Oryzias latipes: one gene and its partners. The protein of the gene in region 2 binds, or shares a complex with, the protein of the main gene of each other region. Links are inferred from orthologs where the notes say so. Each region holds a gene or a part of one and is shown on either strand. Other genes may lie near its edges.

Evidence for each region.
Region 1: the proteins of dickkopf-related protein 1 (region 2) and kremen1 are in contact, whole or in part, in a crystal structure (PDB 5FWW), measured with the Homo sapiens proteins. The link is inferred for Oryzias latipes from reciprocal best matches to the Homo sapiens genes DKK1 and KREMEN1. Residues at the interface, in NP_036374.1 of Homo sapiens: Cys189, Leu190, Arg191, Ser192, Ser193, Cys201, Arg203, Trp206, Ser207, Lys208, Lys222, His223, Arg224, Arg225, Lys226, Gly227, His229, Gly230, Leu231, His261; in XP_011528731.1 of Homo sapiens: Pro67, Asn88, Asp90, Asp92, Ser94, Trp96, Gly105, Val106, Tyr107, Trp108, Tyr110, Asp127, His128, Gly129, Pro132, Thr140, Asn142, Glu164, Ser165, Tyr167, Ala168, Phe170, Asn189, Val191, Phe193, His196, Asp203, Gly204.
Region 3: the proteins of dickkopf-related protein 1 (region 2) and lrp6 are in contact, whole or in part, in a crystal structure (PDB 3S8V), measured with the Homo sapiens proteins. The link is inferred for Oryzias latipes from reciprocal best matches to the Homo sapiens genes DKK1 and LRP6. Residues at the interface, in NP_036374.1 of Homo sapiens: Glu185, His204, Phe205, Trp206, Ile209, Gln218, Val219, Thr221, Arg224, Arg225, Ser228, Gly230, Leu231, Glu232, Ile233, Phe234, Arg236, Ser258, Leu260; in NP_001401174.1 of Homo sapiens: Arg639, Glu663, Ser665, Ile681, Tyr706, Glu708, Thr724, Arg751, Trp767, Gly768, Gly769, Pro771, Val790, Gly791, Arg792, Asp811, Thr812, Asn813, Leu814, Pro833, His834, Phe836, Trp850, Ser851, Tyr875, Met877, Arg1184.

What each region holds. Positions count from the first base shown.
Region 1 is NC_019867.2:1,752,239-1,755,859, reverse strand, and holds part of kremen1 (kremen protein 1), read right to left. Parts: intron 926-3,621; coding exon 801-925; intron 44-800; coding exon 1-43. UniProt on the Homo sapiens protein: Receptor for Dickkopf proteins. Cooperates with DKK1/2 to inhibit Wnt/beta-catenin signaling by promoting the endocytosis of Wnt receptors LRP5 and LRP6.
Region 2 is NC_019873.2:20,249,604-20,253,302, reverse strand, and holds dickkopf-related protein 1, read right to left. Parts: upstream 2,372-3,699; 5' UTR 2,175-2,371; coding exon 1,944-2,174; intron 1,849-1,943; coding exon 1,704-1,848; intron 1,617-1,703; coding exon 1,482-1,616; intron 1,402-1,481; coding exon 1,136-1,401; 3' UTR 549-1,135; downstream 1-548. UniProt on the Homo sapiens protein: Antagonizes canonical Wnt signaling by inhibiting LRP5/6 interaction with Wnt and by forming a ternary complex with the transmembrane protein KREMEN that promotes internalization of LRP5/6.
Region 3 is NC_019881.2:23,657,864-23,662,132, reverse strand, and holds the start of lrp6 (low-density lipoprotein receptor-related protein 6), read left to right. Parts: upstream 1-1,435; 5' UTR 1,436-1,743; coding exon 1,744-1,801; intron 1,802-4,064; coding exon 4,065-4,269. UniProt on the Homo sapiens protein: Component of the Wnt-Fzd-LRP5-LRP6 complex that triggers beta-catenin signaling through inducing aggregation of receptor-ligand complexes into ribosome-sized signalosomes.

The DNA of each region.
Region 1 (3,621 bases), on a different chromosome or scaffold from region 2:
CGTTTCCACAAAAACAGGCGTATCCGGACTCCATCCCAGCGAGCTGCAACACAGAAGGGCCGTTTGAGAAACCTGATTACAAACGTCGGACTGCAGCGTGACCTTCCGCCTCCGTCTGCACTGACGGTGCAGAAAAGCCGCCCGTCCTCCTCAGATTCTAGTGTCGGAGCAGAACAGCAGAGAAAGGCTCACACACTCTCTTGACCTGACCGACACTGAACGCTTGTCCTCAAAAGAGCTATTGTTGTTGGTAGAAAGGGGCATCATTGTTCCGATTTCAGGCCCTGCATGACTTCAGGGAAACGGCGACAGCGCATCACTTCCCCCTCTGCGTCCTGTGTCTGGTCACAGGAACCCACACAGCGTCCAAAACCACGTTTCGTGCTGCATTTTTGTCACCGTGGAGTCACGCAAACACGTCATCTGGACTGCTGAATTAAAGAGTCACACGGGATCAGGACTTCTGAGCATGTGCAGTGAGGGCAGGGCAGCTGCCAGTCCGCCTGCTGCCCAACGAGGGGGGTGTCGGGGCCAGTCAGAGCGGCCGGAGCGAATCCGCGGAGACAGAAAACGAGCACCTGGCCGTCTGCGACAAAGTCAGAGAGGAGAAAAAAGGCCTTCAGAGGCGGTGATGCCCCTTCATCTCCAGCTGTCAGCCCCGATGGTCTGACATCTGCTGCTTTCGCCTCTACCTGAAATTTAACGGCTGCAGAAAACGAGCGTCAAAAAGAACGCCAGACGCCCGTCGCTGTGACAGAATCCAGGAAACGTCAGGAGCAGATTTCTGGTTCGAAGCTCACCCTGTATCTCTGCTTCCGGCAGAAGCTGATGCAGTTCTGAATGGTGAGCTTGTTGGAGATCTCGTTGGCGCCGGAGAGCGTGGGTGGGTTACCGCTGTCTTTGAAGCAGCCCAGGTTGCCCGGCACTGGAGACACCAGAGGAGATGACAAAAAAAGAAAAGACAAAAGTTAGTTATGAAGTTTTAGGATGAATTATCCCGAACAGAGGCGCTTTATCCGGACGTTGGACTAATGTTCTCATCAAAAGCTGCAAGGACAGAGGCACTGCAGGTGGACACGAAACCCCACTTTTCCATATCACTCCTTTTTCCATGAACATGAAAGATTTGCCCAACAATCCCAGCTATAGGCTGTAGACCCAAATGCCCTAACCGGTGGATAACGGCTGTCTGTGGGGCAAAAATGGTTAAACCTGTAAATATCAAGGTGGTAGTCCGCTGCGTGAACCCGTAGGGAGAAAAGGGAGTAGGTGAGACGCAGGCGTACAGCTTTCTGCAGATCCCATTAGTGCTGTGGCCGTGACAAATGCGTGTTCTTTGCGTGCAGACGACCGTTATGCTACGCACACTACGCTGCCCTCGGCAACGCAAGCGACCACTTCCAAAGCAAAAGTCTACATAAACGCCTGCGTTCAAAACTCTCACGTTTCTCACCACCACAAAGGTCTATAACCCTTGTGGTATTCTATGGGGTCAAGATGACCCGCCCTTACATTGAGGTGTTCTCCCTACCATGACAAAGGTGGATAAAGGTAGAAAGATTTCATGTAATCCATGGACACCAGTGAAGATCACAAATCATTGAAGAAAAAAGGTTCAGAGCACTGTCTAGTGGGTCTAGATGACCCCTCTCCCAATGTTAAAGTGCTTAAGATAGCACAAGTGGTCATAAATCCCAAACTAAACTCTGTTTTTAGCCTCCATCTGCCAAAAGGGAAACGTCCAATTAGAAATGACTGTCTGTGAACGCACCGTCCTCCAGGGCTGAAGAAACCACATTGGGTTTGTTCATTAGAAAGCACAGAGGTGGGTTCAAACACCTGGATTTGAACCAGCAACCTCACTCACACAGTAAGGCAGGCGGGTGCCACTTCCAAGAGGTGTCATGAAAAGCACAGAGAAATGCATTGTGGGAGTCTGCATACAGATTAGAGGCAGGAAAGCTCTTCCTCCACTTTGCTCTGAAAAGAGGATTGCAGGCTGCAGCCTGATCTCTTCCTCCCGCCGTCGTCTGACAGGCCAGCAGGTGGGTTTGCATCCCTTCATGGCAGCAGAGAGAAGGTGGAGAGCCATCTACATTCCTGCATGCACAGCCCCCCACCACCACCACCAATAAAGCATTTAGAATTGCATGAAAAGTCAGAACAAAGCGTCTGGAAACACATCTGTGTCGCAGGCGCAACAAGTACAGTAGAGGAGAAAACACAAACACATTCGGACGACTTCAAAGCTGTTGATGGAATCTGGTTTTACAAGCCAGAGGGGGGAAATGAAGAAAAACACGCGGTGCATGAATGCAGCACTTAGCTGGGAGCAGACCCCTCTGCAGATGAGTCAATAACGGCTTTATGCTGTGCAGCTCCACACTCACAACAGCACAAGTAGTTTAAAAGTAGTTTTAAAAATGTGGTTTAAAAAAAACATAAAAATGAAGGTTATTGGACCAATTTCTGAGAAAAGAGATGTTATTCAATCAATTTTTATCTTTTTAAAAACTTCTAAATAAACATTTACTGTTAGGGAAGCGCAAAACTAAATATTTTAACCTAAGTGATACTAAATACTCATAAAAACGTATAAATAAAATACTTACAGATAAATAACTACTTTGTTGTTTGAAACAAAAGCAATCCACAATTTCAATCATAAAAAAAAGAAAAACGACTTATTTTCATCTTCTATTCGCAGATTTTAATGGAATAATGAATGTTGCACTTCTTGATATAACCACTAGAGGCTGGTTCCAAAGGGCAGCACTTTGTCACCAACTTCTGTGTAAAAAAGTCAGATTTGAAATGTTATTACAGCCAAGGGACTTCTTGATCAATGTAATATTAAAAAAAAAAGTAAATTAAAAACAGCCATTTAGATTTTGTATTTTTTTCTGTTTTTTGTTGGATCTCTTTTCACCTTTTTGTGTCTCACATTAATTTATCACGACCAATCCAAATGTCAGGAAGTCTGTGAGGATGGGACCTACTTTGTCATTTAAAAAACATCTCCATCAATGTTAAGAAACCACGCCCATAAAATAAGTCCTCAGACTAAACCCCGCCCACTTCCCAAAACATTTTCGACTCTGAATGTGAAGAAAGACGACACATTTCCAGTATTTTTTTTACTAAACTAAAGCAGAAGAGAAAAATAGTGAAATTAAGATGATTTTTCTTATTTTACATTTTATTCAAGATAAAATTTGATATTTGTAATAAATAAATCACAGCTTCCTTTGAATTCTTTGTAACAGGAATTTTTGCTGCCTTTGGACATTTTTACTTCTGTAATCTGTATCTTGTTTCTCCTGAAAAATAAGTTTTTAGATCTTAATCAGATTTATTTTGGTCAAATAAAAATAACTTTTTTCTTCACCACATGATGTACGCAAGTTTTAGCAAATCCTGTTTCTGTTTCGTGAGGCTTCACAGATTCATTCAGATGAACCCAAAACAAACTCTTGCTCTAAAAAATGCCCCAAAGCACCGACGTCCAGCAGACTTTTCTCAGAACCGGCGGTCTGGGTCACCTCCGTCCAGCTGACGGTCAGTGTGGGCTGGAAGAACGCCGGTCAGCGGGGTCGTTCGCTCAGCCAGCGGCGCGTGAGC
Region 2 (3,699 bases):
AGGCCACGGTGTGTTTGAGTGGATTCATAGCCTACATATTTAAAGCTCCTGCATTGATCAACGTGTCAGGAAATAGAGCTTGCTGTACAATGGAGGCTGAAGCTCCCTTTTTGTACCTTTAGTGGGTTGTGTCGCACACAAAAATATGCTGCTTTTAACCTTATTTCCCGAATCCCAGGGCAGATTAGGCAAGATGAAGTAATTAGAGGGTTTACCATGGATAGCTGGCTAACTGCTACACATAAACCTATAATTAACCCCAGGCAGCACCAAAGGTTCAGGTAGCAAACACCCATCAGGATAACTTTCTTTATTACAGTTATCATTTGGTACAACCATGTCCTGTCCTGCAGTTCAGCTGCACGATGGGAAGATTTTAAGTTAGAATAATGAGTTCTAGATTAGTTTTCTTAGCATAATTCATCCTGGTGTGTGTCTGAGTGTGTTTTCTGTCAATTTTGACTAATTTCAGTGTCTACAAAATAAAATATTGAAACTATTTTTGCGTTTTCTTTCTAAGGTGTTGACAAAATAACAATTGAACAGCATAAGGTTATCACAACGCATTTAATAAAACAAATATTCACATTTGTCATTATTTCTCTTATAAAACAATTTATATACTATACAGTTTATTTACAAAACATGCATCACCATGTCTCTATAATACTGGTGTTGACATAATTCAGTAGAGCAAATAAGTGCCACCTGCAGGATAATATTTACACTACAGTAATTTACTGTGATTGCTGTGGCCTCAAGTTCCATAAAAAGAGAAACAAAAACTACTCTGCCATTACTGACAACATGAATCCATCTCCACAAATACCTGTGAAATGCTACTTCCTAACTTCTGAATCTATATCTGCTGATGGAAAACTGGATGAGTTCGTCTCACACTGTTGCATCCCTCTGGGTGTATCACTTTTCTAGGATTCATGTCTCTCCATCTTGGTGATGCATTTGTGTCAGCAACTCTGGCAGGAAAGAATGTCTTAGGTGTTGTGTGTCTCTGCATGTGTGTGTCAGCATCTTCTCTGAGGAGTATTTGTCAGCATCTGTCACTGATTTATTGATGTGTGTCTGCGCGTGGGTGTGTGATTCTGTCTTCTGGCTGTGACTGCGTGCGGTGGTGTCAGCGACTCTGACAGGTGTGTAGGTTCCGGGCTGCAGTCCTGCTGACACCGTGATCACGCTCGGCTTTCTCCGGTCTGCAGGCCAAGCCCTCGCCGCAGTCACAGCGCTGGAACAGCTCCAAACCGTGGGTGCCTTTCCTGCGGTGGCGCGTGCACACCTGGCCCTCTGTCAGCACAGGCTTACAGATGCGAGACCAGAAGTGTCTGGCACAGCACAGACCCTCCGAGCAGTCTGCCGATCTCAGGCATGTGTCACCCTCTTGCCCTGTAGATTGATAAGGTTATTTATTACATGAAACAAATATTATTGAAACATATTGTTGGTTTTATTTACCATCATCTCACCTTTGACATTAATTGGTTGGTAGCCATTGGAATTAAGAGGCCTCTTGGCTTGATGTTCCAGGGTGTTGTTGTGTTTATGCCCGCCAGATGTGACGGATGACTCTGTGTCATGAATGTCTTGTGGTTGACAAAAACCTATAAAGAGCAAATATCAATAAACACAATAGTTTTTTTTTTTCATTGAAATAAAAATTCAATCACATGAGCAGTTTCTTTACACACCGTTGCTACAGCGATTCCCTGCACAACACATGGAGTCCCTTACGCAGCGCTTCCGGCTCCTGCGGCAGGGCAGACAGACACCACGGGCATCGTTGCAGAATTCCTCCCCTCCACAGTCTTCATCATCCGTGCAAACAGCTGACTGCTACAACATGATGAAGGAAACAAAGTAAATCACATATAAAGCAATCAAATAAATGTACCCAACTGTTATGAAGCAAAAAGTTGACTTTTACGCACCAGGGAGTTTATTACCTGCAGGGTGTCTGGGGGCAACTTTTGCCCCGCGACACCGGTGGGTGACGTGCGCGGACTTGGGCTGACAGAGTCGGTGCCTTTGCCCGCTGACGCGCCGGGCGGGTGTTTGATCAAGTTGGAGTTTTTCGGCACAACACCTGGATAAACGTCTCCAAAGTATCCAAACAGCGTGACGCACACAGCCAAGTAGCGGTGGACTAACAACACCTGCATGATTATTCTCTTGTTAAGTCCAGTCTCAGTTAGAATTTAACAAAAAAAAAAAAGAAAAGAAAAAAGTTAAGGAAATCCGTTTGAGATGCGTTAAAGGAATATGAGACAATGTCCAAACGGCTTGGATTCCTCAATCCCCAAAGTTTCCAAGGTGTGTTTGGATGATGCTTGGAAGTCTCCTGACTCACAGTCCTGGGATGATCTCTTTATACACGCGGACCTGTTTGTCTTCCCGCCCCTCGCTGTGCACAACAAAGGCGGAGGGGTGGAATTTCTGACAGAGCCCCACTGTACGGAAATGGCCATCCCTGCGCAGAACTGCGTCTCACATTGTTTGTGGAATGATAATGACCCGCAAAGTCTGTCTGAAAAGCCATGACTGACATGAAGCCTTGTTATTTAAGCCCAGCTCGATGTAGAAAAACGTTAATAGTCATGCTCAGTCTGTTTACATGTCTATAAAGTTTTATTTATTTAAGTCATATATCATTATTGACTTGTGAAACAGATGAGGGCTTATTTTTTGCGCATTTTCTTAAATTTGGTTAAGTTCTTAAATGCTTTTAACATAAAAAGTATTTAGAAACATTGTATTTATGCAGGATTTTTGGACAGAGCCCCTTTTTTGTGTGTGTGTGTGTGAGGGGGGGGGGGTCTTCCTGTCTTGCAGCAGCCCTCGTTTGTCATCTTTCAGTGTATTTGACATCCATCCATCCTCCTCCTCCAGCTTCTCGCTAAGGATGAGTGACTGAGGTTACTTGGGTCGATTAACTACTTCATTTGATCCCGCTGTTTGCAAAGGTGACAATTATCCCCCAACAGCGTTTGATTACACCGGTGGCGCAAAGGATACGAAAGACCATTAAGGGGTGTGAAAAGTTTACCGAATTAATGGCCTTCCGCGGGGAAGCCTTTTGAGGGCTGGCTGGCACTTTTGAGATTAAAGGAGAGACTCTGATCTGGGTTCGCTTTTGGCCCTCAGGGGCTCCAAATCTCCAAGAATTGCGCACAACAAGAAGGAAATCGGGGTCAAAAAATTATTGAATCCCCACTTTACATGGCCCTACTGGAAAGTAATTTCATTACTAGTAACTTCAATGGGTTTGCAAGCGATGGAGTGCTGACCTTCTGATCAGATCTTGGCACTTGGACGTCATCTGCTGGACATGTGGGAGTCAGGGTGCGCGTAAACAGCGAGATGCTCTGTGACCTGACAAACACGCCATCACTTTGCTCGTTTGAATTGCTGCATATCTTTTGAAGTAGGGCTTTTATCCCCACTTTACTAAATGTCAGTGTTGGCAAGGTGAACTCCTTTGATGCACCCTGATCCCCTTTGATCTCTCAGAAGTGTCGCCCTGTTGTTATGACTGAAGCCATTTCCCTGTCCCCCAAACAGATTTGTTGTGCGAATAACACAGAGGGCATGAGAAACCGAATCATCTCCACTTACCTCTAAGTGGATGACATCAACTCTACGAATGATCATTAGATCTCTCAGGATGCTCAACTGATCTCTCAAGCA
Region 3 (4,269 bases), on a different chromosome or scaffold from region 2:
AAAACTGCTTTCATGGTGGATCTGAAGAACCGACGTCGGCTCTTGTAGGTAAAGATGGACTCAATGGTAGGAAGGTTTTAAGGAGCGGCAGCGGCGGGATGGACTCGCCGCAGGACGCTGCTGAGGAAAGCAGGTGGGCTGCTTCCTGACCTCTGACCTATCCACATGGCGGCCGACTTCAGACGTGAAGTTTCAATTTCCCGTCTTTACGCTTAGAGAATTTTGACCACGGAGCATGTTTCACTTTTGATGAACATTTCTAATAATTTCACACTAAAAGTAAAGCGTAGATGTTTTTATGAAACAAAACAAACTTTTATTAAAGAGTCGTTTGTGCTTTGAAAGGGTTTGATGACATTAGCTGAGAAACTCCTCAGAACTGAGGAGGAGTTTTGATCCTGTGACCTTCCTGTCTCCACACTGAGCTGAAGGTCATCCGCCGCGCTCCTCTGTGGACCATCGCTCACTTTGACTCCGCCTCCCCGTCTTCACCACTGGCAGCTCTGAGACCAGGAGAACCTGTGTGTGTGTGTGTGTGGGGGGGGGGGGGGGATCTGGAAGGCCCCTCGTTCTTCGTCGGCTGATGAAGAACAAAGCTACAGCAATACTGTGACTGAAACTCAGGAAGGAGCTGACCTGCGTGGTTCTGCTGCCACACTGTGACGCACAGAGGCAGGACTTTCGGAGGCCTCCAGCAGGGGGCAGCAGCGGTCACGTGCTTTCACTGTACTCTGATTACTGGATGGTGTTTTTTGATATTGTTTTGTGAAGTAAAGCGTTTGCATACGTTTGGAAGCTCTGCGTTTTGTTGTGGGGATTAAACCGGGTTTTGACCCTGGAGCGGTTCCATCCATTATGAGAACCCTCTTCAAGGGGTCACGGGAGCGCGCACAGCTCCTGACAGGTGAAGCTGGGCTGCATCCCAGGTCCACACATTCACACCACGCAGCCTGTTTCTGGAGGAATTTACTCATGCAAGAACCAGAAAAACCTTCAAGTTAGAGTGCAAACCACTACCCCACCGTGCCGCCCGAAGCTTCCAGGTACAGGAGAAGATCTGGTTCTGGATCAGCGTAACTTTTCTGCACTCCTCCTGATTTCTGAAGGAGTCGGAGGAGTTCAGGAGGGGTGGAGGTCTGATGCTGGGTGGGCTAAACAGAGACAAACACACACGGTTCATCTTTAATGAGTGTGTGCGCGCGCGCGCGCAAACCACTGAAAGTCCCGGCGGAAGTACTGATGTGATCGAAATGCCGAAAATCAGGTGATGATGAGAAAATCTGTAATTACAGGTGAAGTAAACTAAGAAAAAAACACGAGGGGGGGGCGCTACCCTCCATGCAGTGACAAAGTAGTCCCGCTGCTGTTCTTCCCCGCATGCTTCCCCATTTGCGGGCTGCCCCCAGCTGGTTTGTGGTTGCTGCGGGCGCGCGGCGCACGTGAGCGCGGGGAACGCGAACAACAATAGAAAGCAGAGGAGGGAGGCGCAGGCGCAGGGAGCAGCTTCCTCGCGGCGGAAGGAGACGTCGGATCTCCTGCAGGACAATGTGAAGGAGCCAAGCGGAGTAGACGCAGCAGCCGGGATGGACGCGGAGGCGCCGTGAGCTTTTTCGCCGCTGCTCCCCCACCAAAACCCCGTTGAGGAAAAGGCTTTTTCCTCCTTTTTGTTCCCGAGGAGCGGCCGCGGAGATGGGAGACGAGCGCTGAGGAGACGCGGCGGCTCGGCCGAAGAACGGCAGAAATATGGGTGTCGCGCTGCGGAGTCTGTTGTTGTTGTTTAGCTTTTCTTTTGTCGTACGAGGTAAGTTGAGCCCTCCCGGACCACTACCGCCGTTTTCACCGAAATACGAGCTGTTTGTGCGGGTGGAGGTGTGCGTGTCCTACAGCGAAAACGCTTTTCCAGAGTTCGGCCCGCGGAGCTAAAGCTAGCTTCCCGCTAGCAGCCCGTTTGTGTCGGACGAAGGAACCGCAGAACAGCCGACGTGCGGGAACAGAACCGCAGCTAGAGCCGCGCGTGGGCCGCCGTTACCCGGCGTGGCCGTGGACTTTACCGGCAGCTTCCTCGTTTCCACGGTTTTACCGTGTAACGTAAAGAGCAACAATGCTACGGAGCAGCAGGTTAGCCGCGGCTAACGTAACGGGGACTACTTTTCACGTGTGATCGCGGTGGGGTTGTGCTGCGGTCACACCTGCGTGAAAGACCCACAGCAGCAAAAACAAGAAGCGCCGTGTTCTTCAGTGGAATCCCAAAGGTTCTGATGACCTCCTGCAGAACCCGGGAGAACCCACAAAACTGGCCAAAATCATTAAACTGTACCGACAGGAAGGTCGGTGTTCCGGTTTCATCCGGATCGCACCTTTGTCTGGATCTCAGTGGATCCGGGTTTGATCCGAACTCTTCAGGTTCTGGCTCAATGGACTTTTCATATCAGGCTGGTATTCCGCTCCCACACCTATCAGGTGTTCCCAGCCCGGATAGGGTTGGGTTTCTGACCCAGAACTGCAGGATCCTGGTTTCTGACCCAGAACAGCAGGATCCTGGTTTCTGACCCAGAACTGCAGGATCCTGGTTTCTGACCCAGAACTGCAGGATCCTGGTTTCTGACCCAGAACTGCAGGATCCTGTTTTCTGACCCAGAGTTGCAGGATCCTGGTTTCTGACCCAAAGGTGCAGGATCCTGGTTTCTGACCCAGAGTTGCAGGATCCTGGTTTCTGACCCAAAGGTGCAGGATCCTGGTTTCTGACCCAAGGGTGCAGGATCCTGGTTTCTGACCCAGAGTTGCAGGATCCTGGTTTCTGACCCAAAGGTGCAGGATCCTGGTTTCTGACCCAGAACTGCAGGATCCTGGTTTCTGACCCAAAGGTGCAGGATCCTGGTTTCTGACCCAAAGGTGCAGGATCCTGGTTTCTGACCCAAAGGTGCAGGATCCTGGTTTCTGACCCAGAGTTGCAGGATCCTGGTTTCTGACCCAGAGTTGCAGGATCCTGGTTTCTGACCCAGAACTGCAGGATCCTGGTTTCTGACCCAAAGGTGCAGGATCCTGGTTTCTGACCCAGAGTTGCAGGATCCTGGTTTCTGACCCAGAGTTGCAGGATCCTGGTTTCTGACCCAGAGTTGCAGGATCCTGGTTTCTGACCCAGAGTTGCAGGATCCTGGTTTCTGACCCAGAACTGCAGGATCCTGGTTTCTGACCCAAAGGTGCAGGATCCTGGTTTCTGACCCAGAGTTGCAGGATCCTGGTTTCTGACCCAAGGGTGCAGGATCATGGTTTCTGACCCAGAGTTGCAGGATCCTGGTTTCTGACCCAGAACTGCAGGATCCTGGTTTCTGACCCAAAGGTGCAGGATCCTGGTTTCTGACCCAAAGGTGCAGGATCCTGGTTTCTGACCCAGAGTTGCAGGATCCTGGTTTCTGACCCAGAACTGCAGGATCCTGGTTTCTGACCCAAAGGTGCAGGATCCTGGTTTCTGACCCAAAGGTGCAGGATCCTGGTTTCTGACCCAGAGTTGCAGGATCCTGGTTTCTGACCCAAAGTTGCAGGATCCTGGTTTCTGACCCAGAGTTGCAGGATCCTGGTTTCTGACCCAAAGGTGCAGGATCCTGGTTTCTGACCCAGAGCGTCAGGATCCTGTAGCAGCTGAGTGGTCATATTGCGGGTTTGGGCCGAAGCAGCCGTCTGCATAACCCCCCAGGAAGGGTTTCCCAGTGAGAACAGAACTCAGAACAGAACCAGGAAAACTGAAAAATTCGACAGCAGTTCCAAACGGGTTTTGGAGGAAAGTAGTTTTTACAGAACCGCTGATCCAGATGATGACAGGTGGACCTGCGTCCAAAAGACCAGAAATGTTTGCAGGTCTGATCTGAGTCATTGAATCCAGAACAGACCCGTGTTGGGGGGGGGGGTTAAATAGAAGGGGAACAGCATCATTGTGTACCTGAATTTGTTACCGCGGTAACCTGCCTCCGTCTTGGGCCGGACCCCTGACATCCGTGGGGTTCTGCTGGTCCGTTTCTGTGCAGTCGGTTCCGTGGCCGTTCCTGAGCGGTTCTTCTTGTTTGTAGTTGCAGGCGAGCCGCTGCTTCTGTACGCGAACCGGCGGGACCTCCGCCTGGTGGACACCGCCCACGAGAAGGCCAACGACACCGTGGTGGTGGGCGGGCTGGAGGACGCCGCCGCCGTGGATTACGTCTACTCTCAGGGCCTCATCTACTGGAGCGACGTCAGCGAAGAGGCCATCAAACGCACGTTCTTCAACCAGTCGGGCGC